3 linked regions of the Diceros bicornis minor genome follow. The protein of the gene in region 1 purifies or fractionates together with the protein of each later gene. This does not show direct contact. Links are inferred from orthologs where the notes say so. Each region holds a gene or a part of one and is shown in the gene's direction. Other genes may lie near its edges. The genes, in order: SNRPA1, U2SURP and RBM17.

The links.
Region 2: the proteins of SNRPA1 (region 1) and U2SURP purify together in Homo sapiens (affinity purification with mass spectrometry; 5 studies listed by BioGRID and IntAct, with this or other methods). This does not show direct contact. The link is inferred for Diceros bicornis minor from reciprocal best matches to the Homo sapiens genes SNRPA1 and U2SURP.
Region 3: the proteins of SNRPA1 (region 1) and RBM17 purify together in Homo sapiens (affinity purification with mass spectrometry; 5 studies listed by BioGRID and IntAct, with this or other methods). This does not show direct contact. The link is inferred for Diceros bicornis minor from reciprocal best matches to the Homo sapiens genes SNRPA1 and RBM17.

Annotation. Positions count from the first base shown.
Region 1 is NC_080744.1:80,357,466-80,367,761, forward strand, and holds the start of SNRPA1 (U2 small nuclear ribonucleoprotein A'), read left to right. Parts: upstream 1-6,084; 5' UTR 6,085-6,133; coding exon 6,134-6,215; intron 6,216-7,894; coding exon 7,895-8,042; intron 8,043-9,016; coding exon 9,017-9,095; intron 9,096-10,296. UniProt on the Homo sapiens protein: Involved in pre-mRNA splicing as component of the spliceosome. Associated with sn-RNP U2, where it contributes to the binding of stem loop IV of U2 snRNA.
Region 2 is NC_080741.1:10,940,056-10,951,078, reverse strand, and holds the start of U2SURP (U2 snRNP-associated SURP motif-containing protein), read left to right. Parts: upstream 1-6,036; 5' UTR 6,037-6,145; coding exon 6,146-6,190; intron 6,191-11,023.
Region 3 is NC_080775.1:7,288,346-7,298,912, forward strand, and holds the start of RBM17 (splicing factor 45), read left to right. Parts: upstream 1-5,507; 5' UTR 5,508-5,598; intron 5,599-8,758; exon of another isoform or gene 8,759-8,862; intron 8,863-10,567. UniProt on the Homo sapiens protein: Splice factor that binds to the single-stranded 3'AG at the exon/intron border and promotes its utilization in the second catalytic step. Involved in the regulation of alternative splicing and the utilization of cryptic splice sites.

The DNA of each region.
Region 1 (10,296 bases):
TGTGCCCCTTCACCCCTTTCTCCCTCTCCCCACCCCCTTGCCCTCTGGCAGTCACCAGTCTGTTCTCTGTATCTATGTATTTGTTTATCTTCCACATTTGAGTGAAATCATACGGTGTTTGTCTTTCTCCATCTGACTTATTTCGCTTAGCATAATACCCTCAGGGTCCATCCATGTTGTCACAAATGGCACCATTTCATCTTTTTTTATGGCTGAGTAGTATTTTTGAATGGAAGACCTGAAACCATAAAACTCCTAGAAGAAAACATAGCCATATGCTCTTCAACATAGGTCTTAGCAGTATCTTTTTGAATATCATGTCTCCTCAGGCAAAAGAAAGAAACGAAAAAATAAACAAATGGGACTACATCAAACCAAAAAGCTTCTGCACAGCAAAGGAAACCATCAACAAAACAAAAAGACAACCCACCAAGTGGGAGAAAATATTTGCAATTATATATCTGTCAAGGGGTTAATTTCCAAAATATATAAAGAACTCATACAACTCAACAACAAAAAAATGAACAACCTGATCAAAAAATGGGCAGAGGATATGAACAGACATTTTTCCAAAGAAGATATACTGATGGCCAACAGGCACATGAAAAGATGTTCAACAGCACTAATTATTAGGGAAATGCAAATCAAAACTACAATGAGATATCACCTCACACTCATCAGAATTAAAAAGACAAGAAATAACATGTGTTGGAGAGGATGTGGAGAAAAAGGAACCCTCATACACTGCTAGTGGGAATGTAAACTGGTGCAGCCACTACGGAAAACTATGGCGATTCCTCAAAAAATTAAAAATATAAATACCATATGATCCAGCTATTCCACTTCTGGCTATTTATCCAAAGAACATGAAAACACTAATTTGAAAAGATACATGCACCCCTATGTTCATTTCAGCATTTATTCACAATAGCCAAGACTTGGAAGGAACCTCGGTGCCCATCAACAGATAAACATTTTTTTTTTTTTTAATCCAGCAAGAAAAGGGCCAAGTAAAACCAGCTCTCTGGTCTAAGGACGCCACCTGGTGGTCCTCTCTGGAATTAAGTGAAGTTTGGATTGTTTTAACTTTTTAATTTTGAAACAACAAAGCAAAATTACAAAAAAGTTATAAGCACAGTAGAAAGAAGTGTTTTCCTTAACAATTTGAAAGTAAATTACCTATATGATACCCTATTACCCCCCAAATACTTTACAGGGTATTTCCTGTAAACAAGAAGCTCTCCCACATAACCATCAGAAACAGGAAATTAACATTGATACATTACTGTCATCTAATCTCTCTGACTGGATTCAAGTTTTTCCAATTGTCTCAATAATGCCCTTAGCAAAAGGATCCAGTTTAGATCACTCTTTGCATTTAGTCATCATATCTCTTTAGTCTTCTTCAACCTAGAACAGTTCCTCAGTCTTTCCTTGACTTGCATGAACTTGAACCTTTTAAAGACTACAGGCCAGTTATTTTTAGGCTGTCCCTTAGTGTGTGTTTGTCTGAGGTTTCCTCATATTTCGATTCAAGTCATGCATCTCTGAGAGGAATCTCACAGAAGTAATGCTGTGTTCTTCTCATTGCATCCTATTAGGTGATACAGGATTTTCATTTGTTCCATTAGGGGTGATATTAACTTTGATCACTTGATTAGGTTTTTTTCCCTTGGCTATGAAGTGATGATGCCTGCTAAAGGATGTCCACTATCACCACTGTCCAACATTGTGCTGACGATCCCAGCCAGTGCAACGGGGCAGAAAATAAAGAACCAGTACAAGAATTGGAAAGGAAGAAAAAAATCTATCATTATTCTCAGATAGCATGGTTATGTACGTAGAAAATCCAAAAGAACGGTTACAGATAAACTATTAGAATTAATAAGTGAATTTGGCAAGATTGCTGGATATATCGATTGTATTTCAACTGTAAATCAACTGTATTTCAATACACCAAAAACTAATGATTAGAAAATGGAATTTTTTTAACCAAAGGTACTATTTACAACAGCATCAAAAACTATTAAATACCTAGAATAAATCTAGTAAGAGTTGTATAAGACCTCTACACAAAAACTATAAAACACTAAGAGAAATTAAAGAAGATCTAAATAAATGTAAGGTTATACCATGTTCATAGATTGGAATACTCAATATTGTAAAGATATTAATACTCTCCAAATTCATCTATAGAGCCAGTACAATATAAATCAAAGTATGGGTTCTTTTTTAGATACAAGATATATCTAAAATTTATGTTAAAATGCAAAGGGCAATAATAACCAAGACAATCTCAAAAAAAGTGGGAGCCCTTTTTTGAGGCAAATATCAAGTTTTTAAATAAAGCTTATTATTAGAAAGACAGTAAGATATTATGCAAGAATAGGCAGCTAAACCCATGGAACAGAGCAGCTAGTCCAGAAGCAGACCTTCACATATTCGGACACTTGATTTATGAAAAAGGTGGCAGGGCAGTGGGGAAAGGATGGTCTTTTCAATAAATAGTGCTGGGTCAACTGATTATCTATATGGGGAAAAATATATCTTGATCCCTACCTCAGACTATACACAAAAATCTGTTTCAGACAGATTGCAAACCTAAATGTGAAAGGTGAAACAATAAAGCTTTTAGAAGAAAATATTTATGACTTTTGAGTAGGCAAAAGTTTCTTAAAAAGGACTAAAAAAGTATTAACCATATAGGAAAAAGTTCAGAAATTAGACTATATTAAAATTAAGAACTTCTGTTCATCAAAAGACACCATTAAGAGAGTGAAAAGGCAAGCCCCAGAGAGAGGGAAGATGTTCACTGTAAATATTTCTCACAAAGACTCATATCCAAAAAATATAAAGCACTCCTACAAATCAGTGAGAAAGGACAGCTCATTAGAAAAATGGGGGCCGGACCAGTGGCTTAGCAGTTAAGTGCGCGCACTCCGCTACTGGCGGACCAACGCACCAACGCACCGCTTCTCAGGCCATGCTGAGGCCACGTCCCACATACAGCAACTAGAAGGATGTACAACTATGACATACAACTATCTACTGGGGCTTTGGGGAAAAAAGGAGGAGGATTGGCAATAGATGTTAGTTCACAGCCAGTCTTCCTCAGCAAAAAGGGGAGGATTAGCGCGGATGTTAGCTCAGGGCTGACTTCCTCACTAGATAGATAGATAGATAGATAGATAGACAGACAGACAGACAGACAGACAGGTAGGTAGGTAGATAGATAGAAAGAAAGAAAAATGGGCAAAACACCTAGACAGACACTTCACAAAAGAAGCTATCAATAAATATATTTTTTATATATGGACAATAAATATATTTTTTAAAGTTCTCAACTGTGTTAGTAATTAGGGAAATACAATTAAAACCACAATGGGATACCACTACCAACCCACCAGAATGGCTAAAATTAAAAAGAGAAACGGCCGGCCCCGTGGCTTGGCGGTTAAGTGCACGCGCTCCGCTGCTGGCGGCCTGGGTTCTGATCCCGGGCGCGCACTGACGCACCGCTTCTCTGGCCATGCTGAGGCCGCGTCCCACATACAGCAACTAGAAGGATGTGCAACTATGACGTACAACTATCTACTGGGGCTTTGGGGGAAAAAAATAAATAAAATTATTTAAAAAAAAAGAGAGAAACAATACCAAATATCTAGAGTGTAAATTGGTACAATCGCTTTGGAAAACTAGCTACTTAAGCTGAACACAAGTAAACCCTATGAACCAGTAATTCCATTTCCGAGTCTGTATTAGAGTATATGTGTTCGCTTAAAGATATGTATTATAATGTTAATAGGTGCACTATTTTTGATAGCTCCAAATTGGAAATTACTACATGCTCATCAACAGCAGACTAGATAAACTGTGGAATATTCACACAAGGAAATACTATATAACAATGGGAATTAATGAACTACATCTACACACAAACATATTAAGCAAGAGATACATAAGGTACAATTTCATTTTGCATAAATACAAAACTAGGCAAAACCAATCTATGCAAGCTGTTAGATTAGTGGTTACTCTGGGGCAAGGGTGTAACTGGAAGAGGACAAGAGGGGGCTTCTGGAATGTGGCAATGCCTTGTTCCTGATCTGGATGCCAGTTGCTTGGTGTGTTTAGTTTGCATTCTGCTGTATGTATATCATACTTCAATACAAAGTTAAAAAAGAATCAATTTCAGGTGGATTGTAGAGCTAAATGTGAAAGGTAAAACAATTTAGCCTCTAGTAGATAGAGAAACATTTGAAGGATGAGGGAAGATTTCTTAAACAAGACACATCTGCAAACACACACACCCACAAACCATAAAGGAAAAGATAAATTGAACTACATAAAAATTAGAAACTTGTAGTCATCAAACACCATTAAGAGTGGAAAGGCCGGTAAGCAGAAAACCCTTTCCTCTCCCAGACCTCCATGACCATAGTGAAACTGTCCCCCACAAAAGAGGGCAAAAGACACTGTCAGTGGGTAGGGCATCCTGAGCTAAGAAGCTCTTCCTCTGATGCCTCTTCTTGAGTGGGACCATTTGGACCATATTTCTTACACTGTTGATTCGAATTGCAGCCCCAGTTATAATTTTGTGATTTTAGGAATAGGATGTTATCTTATGCAGACCAAAATGGACTACAGTTGGTGTTTTGCAGCATTGATGATGTGTATGAGGACAGTGTCTCTACTCTCTGTGAGTTCTTTGGTACCTAAGCAATTTTAACCCCTCCAAAAAAGAGTGAAAGGCTAGCCACAGAGTGTACTCATACCCAGAGTATATAAAGAAATCCCATAAGTCAACAAGAAAAAGGCAGACAACAGAAAAAAAAATGGGCAAGTGACTTGAATGGGCATTTCGCAAAAGAAGATATCAGAATGGACAATATACACATGAGAAGATCCTCAACTCCATTAGTTATTAGAGAAAAGCAAATCAAAGCAATAGGGCAATACCACTACACACCCACCAGAACCGATAAAATTATAAAGACTGACAAAGCCAATGAGGCTGAGGTTGGAAGCGATGGCAACCCTTACACACGGCTAGAGAGTGTGTAAATTATTTTAGCCTCTTGGCATAACTGTTAGGCATTACCTATTGATGATACCATACCCTCTGTCCCAGCAGTTCCACTTTTGGAGATACTCAGGCACATGTGCATCGGATCCATGTACAAGAAAATTTATAGATAGCAGCATTATTCAGAATAGCCCCAAACTGGAAACAACCCTAACGTCCATCAACAGCAGGATGGATAAGTTATGGTGTAAAATATACAGTGGAATTCTATACGGTAGCGAAAATATACCATTGCGGAATGCAACCTGGATAGTTTCCAGGCATAATACTGAGCCAAAGAAATCCGGCACAAAAGCATACTGCGTGATGCTATTTACATCAAAAGCCAGCAAAACTAGTCTATAGTTTTGGATTCGCGGTTGCCTTTGGGGAGGGAGGGAGGATTTCAAAACATTGGGGTTTTTTCCTGGGCCCGTGCGGCAGCTACGCAGGTGTGCTCACTCTGTTGTCATTTGTCACGTTGCAGACTTCTGATGTGCGCACTTTTCTGTACACCATGCTTCAGTATAAATATTTAAGTGCCTAGAGACCACAGACCTAACCGCAAACTCGACCGTGCCTGGAGCGGGTGACCCAGCCCAAGTTCTCACGTTACAGCCCAGGGGTCAAAGCCCAGGACAAGGTCGTGAACCTGAAGTCCTGGACTCTTCACTGGACCCCACGGGCGCCTGCCCCTCCTGGGTGGCGAGAGGACAGACGCAGCTTCCCCTCCCACCTCAAGGTGCACTGATGTATGTGAAAGTTCCCCTCGGGTGCTTCCACGTTTTGCGTAACTAGAGGACACGAATGTCTGGAATCAGAGGCCCTCCAGACTCCAGATACGCCGCAGGAAAGACGCCAAATCCACAGACGCCCCACAGCGCCAGGACCTTTTGAGGAATGAGCCCGGGGGCGTGGCTCTTCGATTGCTTCTGCCTGGATGTCGAGCTGCCGCGCGCGCGCCGGTTGCGATTGGTGCTGCCTGGCGGCGGGGCGCGGGGCACGCCGGGACGGCTGTCTGGCGGGAGGCGGCGGGCCGGCCGGGACAGCGGGAGCGGAGGTGGCAGGATGGTGAAGCTGACGGCGGAGCTGATCGAGCAGGCGGCGCAGTACACCAACGCCGTGCGGGACCGCGAGCTGGACCTCCGCGGTGAGTCCGGGCCGTCCCCCGGCCTCCGCGCGCGGCCCCGTGGTCCGCGCCGCGTGCGCCGAGGGCCGGAGCTTGGCCCGTGGGCCTGAGTTCTCGCCCCCGAGCTGGCCTGCCCCTGGACCGCCCAGGCTTGAATCCTGCCGTTGTGGCCCGAAGACCATGCCTTGGGCACTTCGGAGGTTCCTCTTAGCCCTCGCTCCTTCTCGCACACACGCGAGTAGATTGCTTCCTGATCCCTACCCGCGGGCCTCAGTCAGGCCTCGCGTGGCTTGAGGACAGGGAAGATATACTTGATGTTAGTGGTTGTAATTCTAGTGCTGAGCGCGTGGTTGGTCTCAGTAAATATGTTCAAGTGATATTGTGAGAGTATACCTAGAATACGTGTTGATTATCTCTAATTCACGAGGGAGAAAACGAACGTCGGGAACAAAAGCGATTGTTTCCCCAATATTTCCTTCTTAGCTTCACTTGTCTGGTGTTTTCCTTTATCAAAACATTTTATGGAGTGAACGGTTTCACGAGGCTTGCGTTACCGAGTGCCGGGTGTAATTGGCGGAAGCTCTCCGAACTGTTTGGATTCCTGTAGCTGTTTGAACCTTAGTAAGGCTTGGTGAGAAACTGGGAAGGCAGCTATCTAATCGGCATTTCAGGAGGTGACTTTAGGAAGGATGTGAAAAGCAACTTGTCTGGGGATAAGATAGTACAAGCTTGGCCTGAGGTTTGCTCCCATGGGGACAACACGGTCTCAGGGGCAGCATTGATGCAGCTCTGCTTTCTGCTTGGATCCCTTGCTGAGAAAGCCCACTGCTTTTATTTTGTTGAAATTAAGTTTCTTAGAGAAAGGTTCAATTCGAGGGTAACTGACCGCTTTCGCTGTCTTGGCACAGGTTGATCTTTGCCATCGAAGTCTGAAGTGCATGAGTGTTGAGGATGCTTATCTTGGTGTGGCAGTCACTTGGATGTAGCCCTTACCACTCTGAATTGTGTACTTGAACTTGGGCTGGGTTCATTTCTTTTCTTCTCTTGCACCTGGCACAATAATTATGCCCATATTAGACAAATCAGTGAGTATTTGAGTGAATTTTTCTCAGGGTGATTTACTGTTGTGTATAAACCGTTGACCTTCAATCCTGGATTGGAGCTGGGGAGAGGTGAAGTAAGGGGGAACTGTCATGACATCATGAGGCTATCCTGATGAATTCTATGAATCTCGCATGTGGGAATGCAAAAGAGGTTGAGAACTGTTGCCCACAACGTACGAACAAGGCTTGGACACTGACGATAAGCAGCACAGTGTAAATTCCTGTTATACCGCTTAGCTGGCTATGGGGCCTTGCTTACAACAGTGTGAGACACCGTGTAAATACTCTTACAAATGTTAGCTACCAATATGACTGTTAGTAAGTATCCTCATCATCATTGCCCTTGTCATTGTTGTCATCACCATCTTCATGTCCAGTGCTAAAGTGTAGGCTTCATGGCAGCTGGGACTTGTGACTCTCCTGTTCCTCATTTTATGCGCCAGTACCTTGCACAGTGTTTGACATGGCATAGGTGCTAGGTAGACACTTTCTGAATAAATGAAAGCTTTGAATCAAATTATCATGAAATACTGCTAATGTTTTAAGGTACCTTCAATTATATTAATACTTGTGTGTTTTTTCTCCTCCATTTTACAGGGTATAAAATTCCTGTCATTGAAAATCTAGGTGCTACCTTAGACCAGTTTGATGCTATTGATTTTTCTGACAATGAAATCAGGAAACTGGATGGTTTTCCTTTGTTGAGAAGACTGAAAACATTATTAGTGAACAACAATAGGATATGGTAAGTGTTTGCTAGTGGAAAGTAATTTTTTCCCCCTAGAGTATTTGTCTCAGTGTTCCCTGCAGAAATTGTCGTACGTACTGCCAGTTAAACCTACATATTTCTTCTTAAAATGAGAAAGGAGCTGCACTTTTCCCATACAGATCCAGAGGTTAACTTAGCATTGGTCTAATCTTCCTTGCATCTATTCAGAAATCTTGTATATTTATATATTCATGGTAAGTTTCAAATTTAAATTAAAAACATACTGCTTTGTACATTTTGATTTCTAAAACAATGATTATAGTTATCAAAGGGATCATATTAAAAAGATATATAAAGTTCAACAGTTATATTTTTGAGCTTCTCTTTCTACCTTATATCCTCTGCCATTTGTTTTTCTTTAACTAGAGCTGATTTTTAGAATTCTTATTGAAATTGAGATTTTTTTTGGACCCTCTTTCGTCATCTCTGTGTAGATTTTATCGGAGAAAAATTATTGAAGGTCTGTAGACAATGTCTTTAGGAAATACTGGGTGGTGAGTTACTTTTTTTGAATAGACATATTTCTCATAGGTTAACTATTCCTTATGGTATAGTTGTATGTCTTGTACCAGAGCTGTGAATGCAGAATCACTTGTAGTTCTGTGCTGCCTGCACAGAAGTCATGAAGTGAGCTAAGTAGTTTCTTCTGTGCGGGAGTTTCTCCTTTTTTTAGGTTTCACTAGACAGTGTGGTAGTGGAAGGAGCCCCAGGCAACTTTCAGGAGGCCTGGGTTCTCAAATCATCCCACTTCTGTCGCCAACCATGTGGCCTCAGACAAGTTTTCCTCTTTGCGCCTGTTTTCCTATTTTCCCTCTGTCAGATAGGGTGTTGGAAGGAAGATCTCTAAAGTTCTTCTCACTTTGAAGTCAAATGCTCTGAGCAAGGATTTAGATACAATTGTTAGCTTACTTACTTTTCTCTTTCACTAAGTCTTTTTGTTTTTATTTTAGCCGTATAGGTGAGGGACTTGATCAGGCTCTGCCCTGTCTGACAGAACTCATTCTCACCAACAACAGTCTTGTGGAACTGGTAAGTTCAGCAGGGGAAAAATGTATTTGGGAGAGGAGTTAAAGGTACTACCTGCTTCTTATAGAAAATTTGGAAAATCCAGAAAATTTTCTCATCGTCCTTTTTCTTTGTCTTTGTCTTAATTCAGGATCTGAGCCTTTTTTTGGTTACATATATTGGGAATATCTTTTCCCACTCTGTAGCTCACCTTTTGATTCCCTTAGGGTATCTTGATAGAGAAGTTCCTAATTTAATTGTAGTCCAATTCATCAGTCTTTTGTTGTTGTTGCTAGTGCTTTTAATGTTCTGTCATGTTTCCCCTACCCTACGGTCATAAAAAAACTTGCCTCTATGTTGTTTTCTAGAATTGTAGTCTCCACTGTGATAGCCACTAGCCACAAGTGGCTACTCTGAGTTGCGATGTACCAGAACTGTAAAATACACGTCAGATTTCAAGACTTAATACAAAAAAAATAATGTAAACTATCAGTGATTTTTTTTATATTGATATTGAAATGATAATATTTTGGATAATAGGTTAAATAATAATTAATTAAAATTAGTTTCACCTGTTTTTTCTGTTTTATTATGGCTACTGGAAAATGTTCAGTTACATATGTGACCTGCATTAAATTTTGTTAGACCATTCTATTCTAGAACCTATTGTTTTACTCTTCACATTTAGATCTATGATCCACTTGGGATTGGTTTTCCTATGGGATAAGGGGCAAGTTTCATTTTCTCTATTTGGATATGATTATTTTGACCTATTTCTTTTTATGCTTTTTAAATTTCTGTTCTGTGTGTATAACTTTTAGCACAATTGAGCTCATAATGTATATTGTTTTGTAACCTGAATTTTTCACTTAAACACTGGATGTTTAAGTCCGTGTTATATAACTTGGTTTTGGGTTATTATGCCTTTCCCTCCCTTCTCTCTTTCCCTCGTTGTTCCTTTCCTAGTAGACTGGGTCCATAGCTTCCATCAAATTCTGAAAGGAGTGCTTGACTTCAAAAGTAAGAAAGCACTGGTGTGAGGCCGTGTCCTTTCTGAGATATATGAGGTATTCAACCCAAAATGCACATTCATAGGGAATGTGTGGCATTATAGGGGCTGTTTGTATTTTTATGTTTATGTATTTTCTGTTTATGTATGGATTTTATGTATGTTGTAATTGTATTTAAAGCTGTTTGCAAAGATGAAGACTGAATTTGTCCTATC
Region 2 (11,023 bases), on another chromosome or scaffold:
TCTGAGCAGCCTCTAGGTACTCCTGGGAGTTAGCCCCAGAGGTGAACTCTTGAGAGCTGGATAGACACCTCCAAAAGTTCTACAGCATCCTTCATGAGGTCTTCCCTGACTCCTCTTACACTGTGCTCCCCCAAAACCACCTCTGATGTAGATTTCATTCATTGGCAAATATTCATTGAGTGCCTGCAGGGTGCTTACTGTGCTCTAGGCACTGCAGACACAGCAGTAAACAAATCGGATAAAATTTCAGTCTTCACTTATTACACTCTTATTGTGACACATCTGTCTCCTTTATGCCCTGTTCCTTCTCCGCCCACAGGGACCTGTCTCATCCCGTCTTCACTGGAACCACACCGCCTACCCATTGAATTCCCCAGTAACAATTTCAGAACTCAACTGATCTGAGATGACTGTATTTATTAGGACCATTCCCATGTCAGTTTTCTGGTAAGATCAAATCTGTACCTGACAGCCAGGGACAAAATACAGAAGCAGACAGTTCATTTTAGATCTGGTGGTAGGCTGAATAATAGCCCTCCAAAGATGTCCACATCCTAATCTCAGAACCTACAACTATGTTAACTTCCACGGCAAAGGGACTTTGTGGATGTGAGTAAGTGAAGGCTCTTGAGATGGGGAGATTATCCTAGATTGTTGTGGTGGGCCCAATGTAATCATGAGGGTCGTTATATGCGGGAGGCAGTAGAATTACAGTTAGAGAGAAGATATAAGAATGGAAGCAGAGGTCAGAGAGGAGAGAAGCTAGGCTGCTAGCTTTGAAGATGGAGAAGGGGCTACGAGCCAGGGAACATAGGTGAACTCTAGAAGCTGGAAAAGGCAAGGAAACAGATGCTCCTCTAGAGCCTCCAAAATGAACACAGGCCTGCTGGCACATTTTAGACTTCTGCTCTCCAAAACTATAAGAATACATTTGTGTTGCTGTAAGCCACTAACTTTGTGGTAATTTGTTATGGCAGCAACAGGAAACTAATTGATTTCTACCTGTCCTCCCTCCAGTCTGCCCTCCCCACTGCCCATTCTTCCTGGTGCACAGAACAGGACATTTCGACTTTGTTCCTTTATTTTCTCAAGTCACGGAGATGTCCTAATTTTTCTTAACACAAGCCTGTAACTGTTTCTCTAACAGGGTTGTCTGACCATGGGCATTCTTTGGCATATCACTAGGGTCCCCGAGTTTTCTATGAGAATTTAAAATTCTATATTTTCAGTTCCATGGTTAGCTAAAAAATGAATATGTAATTCAACTTACAACCCAAAAGTCAGCCACATCCTCATAAGAACACTAAAAGCATTCTCACTAAAGTCAGGAATAAGACAAGGATATCCATTAGCACCACTCTTACTTAATGTTATTTTGGAGGTACTGGCTAATGCTATCACACAAGAGAAAAACAAAAGATATATTAAAAAATATGGGAGAAGAGGAGGTAAACGTGTAGTTATTTGCAAATGATATGATCGTATACCTGAAATTCCAAGAGAAAAAACTGAAAAACTACACAAATAAAAGAATTCAGCAAGGTGGCTGGGTATAACATTAATGTATAGTAATAAATATAAAACACTAATTACTTAGGACAGATATAAATAATGGAAAAACTTATTCTATTTGTAGTAACAACAGAAAAGAGAAAACAACTAAGAATTAAGGTAACAAGAAATATGCAAAGTCGATGTGAAGGAAAGAGAACAAAACTTGAAAAAGAAGAAAGCTATGCCATGTTTTTTGACAGAAATTTCACATTATCATTACCATGACAGCCGTGTCAAAATAAAGCCTTCTGTGTTTAAGACCACTGCAGTTGGACTTCTGTTACTGGCAACCAAATGAAATTGATAAGAGAAATAGTTTTGTTTCATTTTCTTGTCATAACTTCATTCTCCACCTAGCCTTTTATATTATCTGGTCTTGTCTCAAGAGTTTTAATCTTCATGGGGATACATAGGCTCCCCACTGGCAGAAGGCAGGTCATAGATTAAGTGAGGCCTGATCTCTGGGTAGTCCAAGCCACGCCCAACTTTGGACTGCCACGCCATGGCATGTGGGGACTCCCTTGGAGATGTTGCCCTCTGCCAATTGCCATGGGCATCTTCAGTCTTTCTTTGTCTCACACGCACATACACACACACACACACACACACACACACACACACACTCATTTAGGACCACCCATTTCCACAATACTCCATCTGGACCATCCTAGGTTTTAATATCTTGTTGATATAATAATTGCTACATAGTAAGGGTAATCTTCTAACCAGGATCATAGCTAAAATAGCAATTTTTATTATTTTCAACATGTCACCAGCCCATTCTTGGGCTATGTGCTTTTTGACACCATTTTTACATATCTTTTACCTCCTGGGCATTTGTAGTTTTAAACAATGCCACCGCTAATTATTATTGTCAAAGGAATTCTAGATATCATCAGTAGATAAGTCGGGTATTTTTGTTTTGGTGAGGAGGGAAGAAAAGGGAGAAGCTGCTATTGCCACTAAAATGACTTGTCAGGCTAGCGTGGTGCGGTGGTGTGGGGCGGGCAATCGACTTCATTAGAAAGAATCTTCCATTCCACACACACCACACCCTCCTTGAAGGCTGTTCCCTATTTCTAGAAGCCGCTAGGATCCCTCTTAGCGGAAGAGCTCAGTCTGATTTTTAGCTTTCCCTCCCTCCCTCCTTATCTTCTTTCTTCAGAGCTTGGCACATGCTAGAAATTCAATAACTGCCAAACCAACAAATGGATGAGACTGTGCTTTCACCAACCTCTATCCTGAAGCCTAGAGAGCAGGGAGAAGCTGCTTAAAAACTCTCTAGAATGAGAGTGCCACCAAGTAGGAGCAGTCCATTGGCACAGTACAGGAGATTTTAGCTTTGGGCAATCATTTTTAAGGTCTCTCTCTCTCATTGTGTATATTGTTAAATGCTGCTTTTGTTTCAGCCTCTTCACTCCACCTTTTTTTCCTCTTATTTTAAAAGAAATTAAAACATTTGGGAGGCCTCTAAAATTACGGTGGGCCCTAGGCAATGAGCCTTCGGTTCCTAATGGATAAGGCAGTTCTCTTTGGTGCCTGGGGGACTGATTGTTCAATGTGTTGATCATCACCCCTGGTAAGACTTAAATTCTACAAGAGATGTAGAAAACTCAAATGCTTCCCAGCAGGCGGGGTGTGGGGCATTTGTCCACTGTGTGTGTGGTGAAGGCCCTTCCAGAGAGGTCACTGTGACTCACCTCCACTGGACTGTTGCCAGACTTCCCCATTTTTCAAGAAAAACTGGAAATCCTGAGTATAAAAAAGTAAAATCTCTCAATTTTAAAATACTAGCCAAATCAAAGAAAAAAATTTCCCTGCTTGAGTCAAACAAAATACCTCTGTGGTCTGCATCTGGCACTACTTGGTAATCTCTGCTGAACACAGCTGCAGGGAGGACCCTCAAAAACTGGTGACATGTGGCGGACTAGAGAAGCAACACATCAGGGAGAGAAAAATGGCATGGTTTTAGTGTGATTGTAAAAAAGTTAAACTAACTGTGGTAAATTGTATGATTTTCTTGCTATTTATGTGTAGTCCCTTGGGAATAGTTATTGTGAATCTAATTAAAAATCTCAGATTCTGTAAAATTCCATTTGTACTATATTCATGCTATCTCATCCTCCTTAATTTTTGGTTTGAGTAATAGGGCCAAGATTTCATGACTTATACGTATTAAGGAGAACTCTGCTCATAACCTTGATTGTGAGTTTCTAAAAGTGTATTTAATTAGGTCTTAATAAAGCCCTATGTATGACTGGTAGTCAGGTCACGTTTGTCTGACTTCCTTTGGGGTTTTAGCGTATGAAAAAGAAGAGAGGGAAGAAGTCTGTGTTCCTTTATTTTTAGCTCTTTAGGGGTAAACATTTAGTAAAAAGTATTTTTATGAGAAGTAGGACTTTAGGGATTTGAATGAAAAGCATGCATATATTCACTTTACAGTGACAGTCAGCCTGCAGCATTGCTAGCACGGACAAGGCACAGCCAATCCTCCTCCTTCCTTCATCTCAGCTGATGGTTTCACTTTCTAATCCTAGATTGTAAACAGACAACTAAGATCCAGTGTGATGAGCATCCGGAGTGGGAAAGTATAGGTTCCTATGGAAACAGAAGCAGAGTCTCTAACTTAGGCTTGGTGGAGTAGGGAGGTCTGAAAGTCCTCTTGGAGGAAGTGACATCTTCAACAAGAGTAGAAAATTGATTAGCCTTCAGAGGCCAGGACAAGGGTGGGAGAAAAGGCCCAGAATTGAAAAAGTGTGACAAGATCTGAGACTGGAAACAAATTCAATTGGACTGGAGGTTGCAAAGCATCATTCCATTTTAATTTCAACGCATAGCACTTGTCACTTTCTGATCATTTCTTGTTTGTTTGCTTACTTATCGTGTGTTCTTCTACCCCATCCTCTCACACAGAACAGACCCCCTACCTGCTGATTCTTCAGTGCCTGCCACATATGACTATTAATCTTCCCTGAGGGCCTGCCACGTGTCAGATCCTGCTTAAGTGCTTCCCTCACCACCATCCCAACCTCCCCTTCCCTGCCCTCCCACCAGCCAACAGACAAAATTTTACTTCTTTAGAGTTGGCTCAAATGCTTCCTTCTCTGTGAAACCTCCCCCATCTCATTACCCAACCCTACCCTCAGAATTAATTACTTCTTCAGAGTTCCCACAGCTATCGATCCTTCCTTGCAGGATCAATTTAATTCTGCATAGTGTTATTTCCCTTGTTTGTCTCCCCCATTCTGCATTAAATAATTTGATTTAAAAACACATTGATTTTAAATCAAATGTGTTTTTATTTGTCTGTAAGTCTCTCAACACTTTGGGCAGGCTTTTATACACAAAATGGGGCTCAAAAATATTTTGAATAAATGAATTAGAGAGAGAAGGTTATGAACCCTTCTTCTTTCTTCCTTCCCCAAGTCCCCAGAGCAACCTTTTAAAACTTCAAATCTGACCACATCAAAGCCCTACTTAACCCTGTTGAAGGCCACTCTTCATTCTCTGAGTTCTAACTCATAAGCACACTGGTAACCTCAGGGCTCGTGTGATCTTGCTCCCATCCACCTCTCCAGCCACGTCCCTCCCTACACCTGGTCTAATAAAACCTGACTGCTTATGGTGCCTGCAGAGTGGGCTGTACGGACCCATGCCATCAAGCTTTTATTCCAACTACTCCCTCTGCCTGGAATGCCTTTCCATTATCCTTGCCTGGCTCGGTTCAGGCATGACCTTCTCAAGTAAGCTTTCCTTCTTTGAAGACAGATCCTATTAAGAACTTTAAAAAAGTTCTAAGTACAGAAAAGTGTGCGGTGCTCCCCTCCATTTACGTGTTTAAAAATGAAAACAATACTAAACTGTAAAACGTAATTCTTAAACGATACATAACTTACGCGTTTGCTAGATTTAGAAAGCCACCTATTTATGATTTTCTCATTCACCCTCTCTCTGCAGGTACCCATTTTGTAGATGCCCCAAACAAGAGTCTATCGGATCTCCCCACTGCCGGAATCTCAGGCTGAGTCAAATACTCCTCTCCGCTTGCCGGGCACAACTCTATCTTACAGTGACTGGAGCAGATGGCAAGTTTGCCCTTTTCACCAGGGCGTGAGCTCCCGAGGCGGCGCAAACACCGTCTTTGTCCCTGGAGAGCCGGACCCTCCAGTTGGCTCCAGACTTATCTTCGGAGTTGAAAAGCTTCCCCCCAGCTGACCAGTGCATTTCTTCTTTAACGACCCGTTCCCTCCTCGCCCAGGAAAGAAAACTGGCTCACCCCCATCAAGAGTTGGCGCTGGGAAAAGAGTGAAGTATCAGCGGCCCCCCAAAGTCAGGACGACGACATTCTCTAACTTCCCGGGTCCAGGAACCGAACCAACAACCGAGACACCCACGGAAACCAAGGGAGTGGGCGTGGCCTGGGAAGGACTGACCCCGGAAGTCACGTGGCGCAGCGCCGCTCGAATCCCTCATCTCCGCAGTCGACTATTCAGCCTTGCAGGCGCCTCCGGCGGGCTCCGCTGAGATCCGCTCTTTCGGCGCTCGACTCGCCCGTGCTGCTGTCGCCGCCGAAGGAGGGGCAAAGCGCAAGATGGCGGACAAAACGCCAGGCGGATCTCAGAAGGCCAGTTCAAAGGTAATTTCTTAGAGGACTTCGTAAGTCAGTGAGTCTGTCACTGTCGTGTGGGGTCTACTGACGCTTCTGGCCAGCGGGAGGAGGTTGGGGTGGGCGTCCGCGTTCCGGTCGCGGCGGTCGGCCGGGGCGCCGCCGCACGGTGGTGCGCAGGTTGAGAGGCCTGGTGTCTCCCCTTCGTCCCGGCCTGGATTCGGCTCGAGACCGGCGGGCCCGGGGGGTGGGGTGGTGGCGTGAGGAGTTCGGCCCGCGCTCGGCACTGGAGTGAAATCGGGGATTTAGATCGAGGCCCGGAGCCGTGAAAACGCGCCCGTGTGTCTCGGCTTATTGCGCCCTGGGGCCGCCGGACAGCGCCGGGGAGAGGCGGGAATCGCTCCCTGGTGCTCATGGGTCTGTCTGTCTGTCCTCGGTTCTTTGGTTTTGGATCTCACAAGCTTCCGGCCTCTCTCGATTTCCCTCACGCCCTCCAGGGAATAAATAACCTCTGGGGCCGCGAGTTGAGAGGCAGGGACCAGTGGCGGAGGGACGCGGGGTGGGAAGTGCAGAGGCGGGAGCAGCGCTCCTTTGCGGTGCTGCATCGCCAAGGTTAATACTGTGCTCTCCACGTGGTCTCACCTCGCTTGAGAGCAAGCGTAAAGCGGGCTCTTGTTTTGAGGGCTCATTTTCGAGGACTCCTGCGTCTCTATGTTGCGTGTTCCACTGAAAGGAGAACTTCCGTGGACTTGGAAGCCACCTAAAATTAGCAAATTGCTTTTGCGTTTACAGGGAACTGTGTGCACGTATTGTGAAACCATTGAGCTGTAGAAGTAGTTTAGTGTTAGTTAGTTGTGGTTACTATCAGGTCTTAGTTGCTATCTTGGGCGGGTCATTTAATCCTTTTTTGCCCTGTTTCTCATCTCGAACACGAGATTAAAAGTAATAGATACTGTCCGAAGTAGGTGTTAAGCTTTTTCATGCAGATGCAGGAAGTTTTGTGACACCTAAACAGGGACTGTTACATCTTAAAGAGTGTGTATGATTATAAGTCGGTTCTTAGGAAGTTAAGTTTACCGTAGAAGGGGCGAGTCTTGCGTTTATAGTTTGTTCTGAGAAACATAACTCATTTTATATTTGCTTTTTCAGTTTCTAATAAATCATAATTTGTACGCCGTTTGGTGAATGATATTCATAATTAGTTCGTAGTTAGTAATGGCTTTATCAGACATCCTTTAGTTATGTAGAAACTATGGTTCAAGGCCAGTTTTGGCTGCTTTACATCCTGTGTCTGCTCTTTGTTAGTTTCTTCCCTCCCCAGTACATTTCCCCTTGAGGAGGAGGGGAATAGTTGGGTACCTCTCTCTGCCCACTTCCCCTCAACAGACTCATGACAAAAACAGCCCTGCTTACTATTAGGGAACTATTACAAAAGCTAACTACATCCATAATAATTGACGCACAAGCTTCACAACTTTTGTTTCTTCTCAAAGTAATATTTTAAGTATCTCCTATTTGAGGCCTTGGATACATTGAAAACCTTTTAATATATGTGTTGTCTTCCTTCTTTAGTACTTCTCATGGTTGTGTGTGGCTGTTCTCTATAAGTGAATTGTTGGGTCTTGCAGTAATCTTTTCAGTTTATATTGCTTTAGATTATCATCAGTTGATGCTATTAAGAGATTTCCTGGGCCGGCCGGTGGCGCAAGCGGTTAAGTGCGTGTGCTCCGCTGCGGCGGCCCGGGGTTCGCTGGTTCAGATCCCGGGCGCGCACCGACGCACCGCTTGGCAAGCCATACTGTGGCGGCGTCCCATATAAAGTGGAGGAAGATGGGCACGGATGTTAGCCCAGGGCCAGTCTTCCTCAGCAAAAAAAAAAGAGGAGGATGGCAGATGCTAGCTCATGCCTGATCTTCCTCACACACACACAAAAAAGAGATTTCCTACTGATATCTGTAAAAAGAGAATATCTCAGGACTCAAATGGTATTGACGTGACTTTCTCCATTAATATGGAGGATACATGATGCAGTAGAAAGATTATGGATTTTGATAACAAACGAGATTTGGATTCAAGTTCTGACTTGGCAATTAATTATATTTGTGATATTAAGGCAAATTGCTTAAACTCTTGAGCCTCAGTTACCTCATTTATAATATGGATATAATCCCTTTTTTACAGGATTGTTATAAGGATTAAATGAGTTAGTGTCTTAGTTTCTTTCCCTTCTCCTTTTTGTTTATAGAGGAAATAAAAAGTACTTTTCAAAATATCAGGATAAATTCTAATCTTGAGATTTAGAATCGAAGTCATCAACTATCATAATGACTGCCCAGATTGTTGTTTATTTCTAACACAGGTCCAGAAATTATTGAATAGAGTCTTAAGATGATTTTGACTAATACTACAGTATTTGGAATTTCTAGCCTTTGATCTCTGTGATTTGATTTCCCTTCCTCTGAGGAGAGCAGATGAATGACATATTCTACTGTACAGATGGAGTGAACAGATTCTTCTGTTTCGTGTTCATTCTTCTTCTTTGGTAATTAAATCCTCATTGATATAGGTAGGGATGCTTGTTAATCATATTTCTAGACACCGAGGAAAGTGTTAATTTTAAAATGTGCAATATACAAGATTTTTGCCATTGACAATGGCAATATTATTTGACGTGTCTTAATTATAAAATAGATTAGATAACCTCTACCGTTTCCTCTAGCTTTAAAAATTACATTTAATGTATTTATAGCCAGATGACTTACTTTTATGAGTAGCTGTCCCCGATGAAGAGAGGCCGGGCCCTTTTATTTTCTGTGTAATTTTGCTGTACTTTTCATTTTAAGGCCTGGCAAATGTAGAAATTCAGTAAATGCTTTAGGAATGAGCTAAAATTTTCCTATACATTTATTCTTGTTTATCACCAGACTAAAACATTACTTTGGGGGACAGGGGTGTTGGTACCATGTTGTAGCTTTGATTTGGCGACGAGAGACAGAGAGAGCCTATAACTGTTTGCTTAGAAATTTGTTAAACATATTTCTTTAGAATTTAATTTATAAAAGTTAATTTATTATTTTGATTTTAAGAGTTGTTTTGTTTGCTTGCTTAGTATAATGAGGATATAAGGGAATGTGGTATTTTCTTTCCTTCTGCATCTCCTGTGCTGGTAATACTGCTAATATAATTGAATTGTGTGCCCTGTTACTTCGCTCTGTGACAATGCTTATTTTTTTACCATACAGTCAAAAATTGCGTTAGAGAGATAAATGAACAAAGTAGAAAATACTGCTAGCTTCCTTGACATGCAGTCAGTGCTAAATTGGTTTGGGAACTTTTTTTCTTTGCTGAGGACAATTCCCCCTGAGCTAACATCCACTGCCCATCCTCCATTTTGTATGTGGGATGCCACCACAGCAAGGCTTGGTGAGCGGTTTGTAGGTCCGTGCCCAGGATCTGAACCCACGAATTCCAGGCCACCAAAGAGGAGTGTGCAAACTCAACCACTACGCCATGGGGCCAGCCCTCAGAACTTCCACTTTTTTGACTGGTGCTCTTTAGAAGCTTGAGTATTTGCAGCACTGGTGCTTGACTATGACTATTGATATGGTTAAAAAAATTCCTATCTTATTGGATTGAATTGTTTTCTGAAAGTCCAGTTTTTATTTTCTTTTGATTTTTTTATTCCCGAAGCTTTCTTTTTCCTGGAAAGTTAACCTATAAAAGATACCCGTTTGCCTTACTGGCAAATGAGAGGAGGGCTCATTTGGTTTGCAAGTTCAAGACTCCTGCCTCTCTACCTCATTTTATAGAGCATAATTTTTTTGTGTGTGTGTGAGAGGAAGATTAGCCCTGAGCTAGCATCTGTTGCCAATCCTCCTTTTCTTGCTGAGGAAGATGGGCCCTGGGTCAACATCTGTGCCCATCTTTCTCTACTTGATATGTGGGATGCCTGCCACAGCATGGCTTGACGAGCGGTGTGCGGATCTGCGCCCGGCATCCAAACCTGCGAATCCCATGCGGCCGAAGTGGAGTGTGCAAACCTAACTAACCACTGCGCCACCGGGCCGGCCCCCAAAGAGCATAGTTTTTGAAATAAAAATAAAAACTTGCTACAGGATGTGAAACTTGAAAACACTAATATTACAAATGATTTATCTCTTATTCTATTATTAAGTAGCTTTAGCATTTTATTGCAGACCAGCCATGTGCTGGATAATTTGCTGAAGTAACTTTTTTGAAAGCAAGAAGTGCTTTGCCTATAACACTTGAGGCCCTTTGGTACTGTTAGATGTCTCTTCCTTAAGGAGTTAAATTTTTTCACTAGGCCTTTCAGTTTAGATAAACTACAGGACATTCAAAATGTTCTTACAACTTTTCATGTATTGGTAGTGTTTTGGATGTAATTTTAAAGATCATTTCAGGTTTATTATTTAACTTTATTATGCATAGTGCATGTCTCAGCGATCTTAGAAAGGTTTTTGAGAGGTGGACTTTGGTTTGGCTTGGAGAGTGATATTAAGCTAGGTAGCTCCTACTTGTTAGTGAGTGAACAGCATAGTGTATGTTGACATTGTGGAGTGTAATTTTGTTGGGTAGGTATTTGTTCCAACAGGTTAAGTCAACAAGTATATCGAGGCTCATCACTTGCCAGATCTTATGCTTGGCTTTGAGGAAGAAAACATTAAATAAGACCCTACTCACTTTTGGGGAGCATGCTGTCTAGTGAAAGAATTGAGTCAGCACTTAATACTACAAGGCCAGAGCTATCAGAAGTGTTTAAGTGTAGAGAAAGAAGTGACAGTTGATTGAATGGAGGGTGGGGAAGGAGAAGCTTCGGAGCATAGAGGAATTTGATTGAGTCCT
Region 3 (10,567 bases), on another chromosome or scaffold:
GCTTGGTAGAGAGCCAGAAACTATCAGAGGCACTCGGGAAACTCATTTTATTTCTTAAATGTTCCATGAACATATCCTACTTCAAGAATGACTTCCCCTCTCCTTTCCATTAACCACATTTTAAGTCTGCCTCTAAGCCTGGCCCAAGCCTCCTTTCTCTCTTGGCATTAGCTGAAACCAAGCATTCACTTTGGAATCAGGTGTGTGTTCACGTCCTTGCTGTGTCACTTGCTTAACTATGCCCCAAGAGAAAGTCATTTCACCTCATGCAGCGCCATCTGTGCAATGGAGATAATACTACATCTGCACAGAATTGTTGACTGTTACACTCCCTCCCCTCCCCCACCCGGTGCATGTGTGAGGCAACAAAGGGCCAATGGACCCTACCAGAGAAACTTTGACCCAAAAAAGGTAAATATTAGCGTATCTTCCTTTTCAGGGCATAATGCAGCGCTTCACACAGTGTTTCACGTGGAAAGTTTCCTCAGACTCCAGTATGGGCGTCTCTCCCCCTCCTCAGTGTTTCCTGCTGAGAGAAAAGGCTAACATCTTTTCTTTTCACTCACTTCCATGCCGCTCCTGGCCCTGTCTCCCTACTGGAAGTCTCCACTGGGACTTCAGCCCCCACACCTTGGCCACACCAGACTTCAGGACAGAGAGAGCAGCCCACGCATCCTACTTCTCCCTCACTCCCCTCAAAAGGAAGCATCCAGAAGCGTCCGGAGCCCCCGAGAAGTGTGGCTCTTTTCTCGCTCTGTTACGGACTACAAAAGTGTGTGTCTCCCTCAAATTCATGTGTTGAAGCCCTACTTCTCAATATGATGATATTAGGAGGTGGGGGTCTGTGGGAGGTAATTAGGTTTAGACGAAGTCATGAGTACAGGGCCCCCAAGATGGGATTAGTGTCCTCATATGAAGAGAAAGAGACCGGAGCTCTCTGCACCCTGTGAGCACACAGCAAGATGGTGGCTGCCTACAAGCCAGGAAGCTGGCCCTCACCAAGAACCAAATCCGCCTGCCTCTTAGACTTCCCGCCTCCAGAACTGTGAGAAAATCAGTGTCTGTTGTTTAAGGCCCCTAGTCTGTGATATTTTGTTACAGCAGCCCCAGCTGACTAAGACACTCTCACGGCTTTTTGCTCAAACAATTTTCATAGGGAATTTCCATTTTTATGGTGTAATTCTACACCATGCTACATGAGGATTAAAGTGAAGTAATGTAAGTAACATGCCAGTAATATAAGGAAAGAGTAAGGCCTACACAATCAGGGTTCTGCATTTAGCGCTCAAAAAATTGCCAGCGTTGCTTAACCAGAGCAGCTAAGAGAATAGCCCGTTTCCTTGTACAAATCTGCCTCTCTTGGGTTATGGAGATCTTTGCTTGGTGCCTGTCTTGTAGGATGTGGAGTGGGAAGATTGGCTTTCTTACTTCCAAGTCCTGAGCTGCAGATCACTCCCATTCTCTGCTAATGGTCAGGTTCAGTTTTCACTTCAAGCACTAAGTCTTTATCAATTGATTTCTACAGGGTTTGCTCCATCTAACATACTCTGCAAAATACCAGGTGCTATAGATGGAATGTTTGTGTCCACCCAAAATTCATATGTTGAATCGTAATCCCCAAAGTGATGGTATTAGAAGGTGGGGGCCTTTAGGAGGTAATTAGGTCATGAGAGTGGAGTTCTAATAAATGGGATTAGTGCCCTTATAAAAGAGACCCACCCCCCCCCCCAGAGAGCTCCCTTGCCCCTTCTGACATGTGTGGACGGACTAAGACACCAGGCAATGCTTACTTATTCAGCTGGCACCTGCATGGTCCTGCAGTTGCATTCGAATAAATAACAGACCTGCAAATAAAAAAAGAAGAAGAATGAAAGCACGGAGAGAATGGCTGGCCGGCTGGTGGGCTGCATTGATAAGTGCGTAGACCATCATGGGTCCAGCTTGTGTTCTCTTCCAAAATTCACCCAGCCTGTGGGCAAATAACCTTGTTCATGTCTATTTCATCTGTTCACCAGGTCTCTGGACCCCGGGGATGAGTGCCATGTCCTATAATCTGTCTACTCACCTCCTGCTGCAGACTGGGTGGAGCGACAGCCACGGGTCTACCTTGTCTCTCTCCAATGGGATCTGGATCTCCTGCTGGGTTGAGCCACCGCCTGCTGTGTCTAAAACAAAGTTCCTTCCACTGAGAATTCAGTCTTTCAACTTACCAGTCACTGCACGTCTTCTTACCCCCAGGCTGCCCTGTGAAGGGCATGCTCCCTAGAGTTGTACGCACCCTGCGTTCACACCCTGACTTTCTCTTCCTAGTTGTGTTACCTCTATCAAATTCTTCAATATGTCTCAATTTTTCCCACCCCCCTTCCCTTCAGCCAGGGCTGATATGCTGTGTGGTCAACCACAGGATGCTAGTAGCAGCAGTGCCCTTTAAGAAGCCTTCGGATTCCTCAGCTAAGCCTAAATTTGAGAATCTGGTCTACATATGACCCTGAACCTAAGCCTGAGCACGTTTGAACTGGCAATCTGGGTATCCCTCCCGGAATGATGCCCCTGCTTTGGAAATCCTCACCTCTAAAATGGAGCTGACTCCACAAACCCAAGTCTCCAAGCCAACCCCAGAAATAAACCCTCCGAAGCCAGGACTGATTCCTCCAAAACTGCACCCAGCACTCCAACCCTGAGCACGTTGTCTTACTGCCAGAACGTTCTCCTTCTCACCTAGAGCTGATCCCCAAAGCCCGGGGAATGACCTTACTCTAGGACTGAGAATTTCTGTCCTGATGCTGTACTATTTTATTTAGGATTTTTGCACTGAGAATCATAAGTGAGAATGGGCTACAGTTTTCTTTGGGCTGTACTTGGGTGTCACTACTGTGCTAGCTCCATGGGAGAAATTTGAAGCTTTCCTTCTTTTTCTATGCTCTGGAACAGCACATCAGAATTCACTGGCCCTAAAGGTCTGATAAAATTCTCCTGCGGAAACATCTGGACCTGGTGCTCTTTTGGAAAGGCTCTTGGCTTTTCTTCCCAATTTTTCCTGTGATAGTTGGTCTGTTTAAATTTTATAACTCATCTAAAGTCCATTTTGAGAGATTATGTTGTCCTGAAGAGTATCTGTCTCTTCCAGATTTTCCAACTTATTTGATAAAACTGAGCAAGGTCATCTCTTAAGATAATTTTACTTTCCTCTGTATTTGGAATTAATTCTTCTTATTCCACATTTTGTACATTTGTGCTTTCTCCCCTTTTTCTTGTTTAATTAACAGCTCACCTATTTATTTTCAAAGAATCATCTCTTGGATTTATTTTTTTAACTCTATATTTTTCTGTTTTATATACCATCAATTTAGGCTTTTATCTTTATTAATTACATCTTTCTGCTTGTCAAAGGTTTATTTTGTTCTATTTCTAACTTCTTGCATGGGTGCTTAATTTATTTAGTTTATTCTAAATTTTTAATTAATATAATCCTTTAACACCATGAGTTTTGGGGCCGGCCCCATGGCTTAGTGGTTAAGTGCACGCGCTCCACTGCTGGCGGCCCAGATTCGGATCCTGAGCGCGCACCGACACACCGCTTCTCCAGCCATGCTGAGGCCGCGTCCCACATACAGCAACTGGAAGGATGTGCAACTATGACATACAACTATCTACTGGGGCTTTGGGGGAAAAAAATAAATAAATAAAATTATAAAAAAAAAAACATGAGTTTCCTCTTAGTACTATTTTAGCTAAATCCTATGGGTTCTGATATGTCATTTTCATTTTCACACTTTTCTAGGTATTATTTATTTGTTTTTGTTTTCCTTTTTGATTCAAATGTTGTCTAAGCATTTAAAAATTTCCAAGGGGTAGGAATGTTTTATTTTCTGTTTTATCATTAATTTCTAGTTTTATTGAATTCTGATGAGATAATATTATCGATATGGTTCCACTTATTGGAATATATTAAGATTTTCTCTGTGGCCTAAAATGTGGCCAATTGTTGTGAATGTCCCAAGGATACTTAAAAAGATGTAATCTCTGTTTCAGGGTACAGAGTTTGATATATTAGATCAACCATATTAATTATATTTTTAGATCTTCTTAATCCTCAGTTATCATTTATGACCTTAATCTGGCAAGGACTACAACAATTATTTCTGACTATTCATTCTCTTTATATCTCCTCTAGTGTTTGCTGTGAATAATGAAATTATGTTATTTGGTGCATAGATATTCCTATTTTTTTCTTCACTGTGAATTTTAACTCTTGTGATTATAAAATGCTCTTCTTAATCTCATTAAATGCTTTTTGCTCTGAAATCAACCCTGTGTAATAGTAAGTTTGTGATCTGTTATTTCTTTATGCTTGTATATTCCTGGTATACCTTTTCCAGTCTTGCATTTTCAGACTGTGATAATCCCTCTATTTTGTGCATTGTCTTGTATGCAACATAGAGTTCTGTTATAGTTTCTGTTCCAATCTGAAGTTGTATTATTTTTTAAAATAGATAAATTTAGCTCATTTACATTTATTCATGTAAGATGTTTGGTCTTAGTTCTGTCATATTGTTTTGTTATGCTTTCTGTTTTGTAGCTTTTTCATATTTCACTATGTGATTTTGTTTAGTTTGTTATAGTTGTGTTTTGATAATTTGAAAGGTTTGTACTTTTGTTCTGGGTTACCATAATAATGATAATATTACTTGATGTCCTAATCATCTATTTCTTCAGATTGTCTACTGACAACCTACCATATTTCTTTCTTTTCTCCCTTTCCTCCCTTTTCATAATCACCAGATTTTAGTTGATTATATTGTTTCTTAGCATGTTCCTTTGTACTAACATGTATACTTAAATCTCTACTATTTATCAGCTTGAAATATTTTAAACCCCAATTACAGGCGTGAAAATCATATTTACACGAAATCCTATTTTCTCTTTTCCTCCCAACTTTTGTTATATCATTTTTAAACTGTGAGGCTTTATAACATTTACGTTTTTTCTATCACCCTAAACTCCATGTCTACTGTTTTCTTAGTCGTACACTTAATTCAATGCTTGCTGCCATTTCTTTTGCAGCAGTTTCCCGTTCATCTCGCCTCGGGGGATTTGTTTTCAGCTTTGTGCATAGAGATCAATGGTTTTGAATGAATGAGAACGAAGGGTTAGGAGGGATTCTCCCTCTCTCTCCTATTAGAACGCACTTGGCTCCCAAAGACGATCTTTGCCGCCTTGGACCATTTCTCGTCCTCACCATCTGGGGTCACTGCCGGGCTCTCCTACGAGTCTGAAATTTCACAAACTTGCGCCACCGCGACACCTCTTGGCGGCAGAGCAGGACGCCGGCGGAGTGGAGGTGCAGTGTGGTCCTCCGGCCGGCAGGCGGCGCGGCGACGAGGCGCCCGCGGCGCAGGCACAGGAGCGCCTCTCTCCCGGCCGCACGCGCCCCCTGACCCCGCGCCGCGCGCGCCCCGCGGACTCGGCGTAGGAGTTGGCGCCGGCTGGGGTCCGGCGTCGCGGGTCACTCCGAGGGCGCCCAGCCCGCCCCCTGCGCGGCGCCTCGGCCCCGGTGTGCCGCCACGGCCCATGGGGAGAGTCGGCCGGGCGGCCCGGGTAAGTGGCGCCGGGGCGGGCGGCCTGGCGGGGCGCCGGGGCGCGCGCCTCCCCGGGCGGCGCTGGACGCGAGGCCGAGGCTTTAGGCCGCGCCGCGAGGGGGCGGGAGGTGCCGGCCGCTGGCGCCCTCGGCCTTCAGCCAGGCCCCGGCCGACCCTTCGCGTTTCTCTTCGCGCCCCGCCGCCGCTCTTGTCTATTTGCCTCGGGTCCCCAGGCCCTCTCCCTCTCCCTCTTCCTCTCTCCTTCCTATTTTTCCCTTCCCGTCCGTCTGTTTCCGTCCGTTTTGGACCCGAGGACGTTTTCTCCTCCCTTCTGTTGGTGCCGTTGTGAAGTAGTTGCTCGGTCCCTACGGTAGCCAGGCCCGTATTACTTGTGGCCCAGCACGTCTGCTCCCCTCCGGGGCCCGGGGAGTGGGGAGGGAAGAAGCCACTTCCTTCCCCGGCTGCAGAACGGGGCCTCCAGAGGTTGACAGCTCTCCGAGTCGGGGTTTACCTGCAGGGAGACACGACTCCGGCGTTACTTCGGTCCTTGTCCTTCTAGAGCGGGGTTTAGCTCTCATGTCCAGTCATCGAGCATTTTTTGAGCATCTCCTCTTGCCCAGATCATATGTTATGGACAGCGGATGCAAGAGAAATAAGATTCTGTCCTTGCTCTCGAAGTTTAGTCTCTAGGGACACAAGCATAGAAATCCTTGATCTAAGGGACTAGAGTGGAGTCTGGAAAGGCTTCCAAGAGGGGGTGATGCTTATAACTGAGTTTTGGAGGTGTTTTGTTAGATGTGCAGGATGGGGAAAAGGTTCCCTGCAGGGCAGGGGAGATAAGTGTCAAGGCAGCAGAAGAGAAGCACTGTAGTGCATCCTGGAAACTGCGGGTAAGGCAGAGAGAGGTGTGAGGAGGGGTAGTCGGGTCAGATCAAGAAAGTTCTTTGAGAAGTCAGTAAAGGAGAACCGTTGAAGGTACTTACTGGTAGAACCCAGCATAGGAATGGAAAATAGGATATTCTGGGTAAGGGCAAGATGCTGCATGTACTCAGGTAGATGGGGACTGTGCCTCCTGGCAACAAGTGGAGTGTTTAAAGGATGCAACTGAGTTTCCACATTTTTAGGGGGTAAAGACAGCAGACGTTTTGACTATAATAAGGATATTTAGGGACTATGGGATAATATATTAGTAACTTAAACCGAGGGTGTTTTATTTTTAGAATTTTATTAAGAAATGTGCTGCATGCTGTACAGTTTAGAATAGAGTAGATTGTGAAACAGAGAAAAAGATAACAGGGTGTAATAGAAGTGTTATCAGGGCAGAGCTATTCTGATTGTGGAGTACTGTGATAACTAAAAATAGCCTTTATGGAAAATAAGAATTTGGGGAGAGTTGTTGTGCGTTCCCAAATGTAACTTTATAAAGTGGATTTCTTTTTACCTGGTTTGTTTTAAATTACCTTCAGAGAACAGATGATCCAGGGCTGGTAATCTCTCAAGTCTTTCCTAGTAGTCAATAGTGAAGGACGTTCTGTTACACACCTCGATTACAGGTGACTCTTGTGGACTTTGTCTGCAATACACTCCAGCCTAAGGTATTTTGGTAATCATAGAATCTATGAGAATGGGTGGAAATGCTAAACTGTGACAAGGGTGTCAGGGTTTTGGGGGAAAGATGTTTTAATTCCTTCAAAAGTCATTATAAATCTTATATATGAGGCAGATGCCTCTTATTACCTGTATTTTTGGTGAACATCAACGTGCATTGACCCTCATGGTTCCCTTCCTGCTCCTTTGTGTCTGCATATACTTCCCATATTCTTGAGGCTTCATTTTCGCTTTATGATACATGAATTATCATTTTAGTGGTAAAAAGCTCTGCTCTTACCAAGCCTGCTGTTTAGGTGCTGAGAAATCAGACCTCGACTCATTATTAGTTGTGTGGTGGTAGTAGTTTTTCTTCTGTTATTTATAGTATACAATTTAATGTTTACCATACTTATTAAATCCCACTTACCATAACTTATGTCCCTAAAAGACAGATCTGGATATCTTATTGTTTTATAATAATGTGATTTAAGGAGGTGCATTAACATTTTCCATCCGATCACTGATAAGTTTAGAAAATATCAAGTGCTTGCAATGTTCCGAGCATGATGCTGAGCTAGAGATACAACAATAAGACAAAAACAGCCCTTGGCTTTAAGGAGCTTATCATGTAGTAAGAGACAGACGTGTCAGCCATAGGCAGCATAACATGTGAAGGTTGCTCTGATCCGAGTGTGTTCAGGGGAAACAAATGGGGCATAGTTTTATGTGGGGGTGGTAGTCACCAAAGGCTTCAGAGATGCTCTTGAGAGATGAGTAGGTGGGGTGCTTCTGAGAAGACTTGTTCCATGTTCTTTTTCTGCCAGTTGCATGTGTTTAAAAAAATACTCTGCCAGCTTAGGTAGAATCTTGGAAAGTCATCATTCTTCTGGCAGGACCATGTTTACTGTGTTTCTTCTTAAGAAAAAAAATGGAGCATATATGAAAGATGTGTTGATCAAAGGGTAGTGTTACCATAAAAAAGTAAGTAGTGAGCAGGTATTTTAAAGAAATTATGAAAACCAGCTGTTTGTATTTGTGTTCGATCCTGGCCTCTTAAAGTATATCCAAATGTTAGAAAGTGCTACTTTTTATTACCTGGCTCCAGACTTCGTGAAATAAATGTGTTAGATCATCTAAGTGACATCCCAGCATTAATTAGGTTCAGTTCAGGTCCTGGCAGAGTCTTGTCAATGCCCTTGTTACATTTCAGTGGTTGCAGTGGGGAGAATGAATGAATCAATTATGGTGTATTTATAAGTGCTTAAAACGGCTAAAAGATATATACACGCCTTTCAAAGAATAGATGCAATAAAGCTATGTAAATGAAATTGTATGAAAGGAGGAAAGCAAGCATTCGTGAGAATGGGGTTCAGGTTGCTGCTCACCCCTGGGCAGGGAAATCACTTGAACGGGATGGGGGGCCATATGGGGTCAGTGTGGTTTCTTGCCCAGATCCTGTCTCTTGTTTGGGTGGCAAATTCACTGGTGCTTGTAGCATTGTAGCAGATAATTAAAAGCAGGCCATACATGCATGGATGGATAACGAGTGTGTTGTTGCTCTGATTAATACAGTTCTGTGAATTTGAAGTTCGGTGAAAACAAGAAAAGTGAAGAAAGCTCGTCTGCATTTACTGTGATGCAGAGATCTGGTTTATAAGTTCTGCATTACTGAAAACTAGCAGATGCTGATAAGGTAACATCAGTTTCTAATATTTGAAGTGTGTTTTTGAAGATTTTGAGAACAGAAACAGGAACTTTAACTAAACATAAGATTTTGCTGCATAATGATTTCCCAAGCTTGCAGAGCAAGGTAAAGCAAATGGAATTGTCAGCAAACCATCTTCAATCTAGAAATGAAATGGAATCAGAGGAAGTATGGTCTCATGAAACTTCATTAATTCAGCGCTGAAATCTTTGTTAAATATTGAATTCTTAGGTGAAAGAACTCTGTTGGAGGCAGAACTCTGTACTGCTTAATTTTTTTAGCTCTGAAATTTGGGGAAATATTTCTGTCCGAGTTTCCTCTTCTGGGTAGAGAGATCTACTAGTGTTAATTAAACAGCAACCTGTTACCTCACACCCCCTCCCCAGCAGTGGTTCTCCCCTCCCTCTTACCTATTTTTTTTATTGTAGTAAATTATACATAACGTAACGTTTGCCATTTTAACCATTTTTAGGTGTATAGTACCGTGGCATTAAGCACATTCACATTGTGCGGCCATTCTACCATCTGTCTCCAGAACCTGTTGCCTACCCTTTAACTTTCTGTTGGAACCTGTGGGCATTGTGTAGTTTCACTGCTGATTTATGGGGCTAAATAGATCTTATTGAATTATTAATATTTCAGCAGTTGTTTATTAAGTGCCTACTCTGTGCCAGAAATTGGAGGTGCAAAAATGAATAAACTAATCTTTTCCCTTTGTAGTTTAGTGGGCATTTGGTTACCTTAGTTCCGTTGGCACTAACATGCTGGTAAATATCTTTTTTGATGAAATTCTCAAGTTTCTTATGAAGAGCTATTGGGAGAAATAAAGTGGAGTTTGGATTGTAAGCAAGCTTTGATGACTTATCTTTGTTTATAATTTCCCAGAAAGCTTTGTTTGTTTGTTTCCCAGAATGTGTGAGTCTTCTCATGCCTTTATAAGAGTAAAGAGGGAGAACAAATGAACCTGTAATTTCCTAGGCTTCGGTTTGGTGACCAGTTGAATGAAGAGGGCTCAAAAAATTAAACTAGGTTAGGTGAAAGATGCACAGTCATTTCTGAAGTAGGTTTTTTTTTTGGGAACCACAATAATCTGGACATTCAGCATTGTTTTTCTTTGCCATTGCTCTGTTTGAGATTTTCAAATTAAATTTAAAGTTTAAGGATATGTCTAGATAAGAACAATCAGTTTTGAATACCAGGCAGCCTGGGAGAAAAGTACAGGAAAGCCTCTGGAGCTCTTTGGTGCAGCGGTCTTCCTTTTAGCCAAAGTTATTGTTGGCCAGAAATTTCTGAAAAGATGGATTGGGAGGGGTTTGCAAATCGAGTGTTAACTGTGCAGTTGGCCTGACTTCTAGTCAGCGCTGGGTCAGTCATTGATAGTCTGGGAGAGAGCAAAGAACTCAACAAACTGGCTCTAGGTTTTCACGGAGTTTACAAGAGCGTGGATTAAAATAGGTTCTGAAGCGGAACCCAGCGGGATTCCGTACAAAACTTTGAAGACGTGGTCGCATTTCAGCTGTACTTAGTTAAGAAATGGAGCGTGCTACTTTTTGCTCATTTAGCCTCAGTGACTCAAGCTTAACTTGACACTGCGATGCCAAGTTCCTGAATAAAACGTTCACTTTGTCTGGCAGTGAGGGCAGTGGGCACTTCTCTGTTGGATGTGCTCTCTAGGAAACTGTCTGAGCTGCCA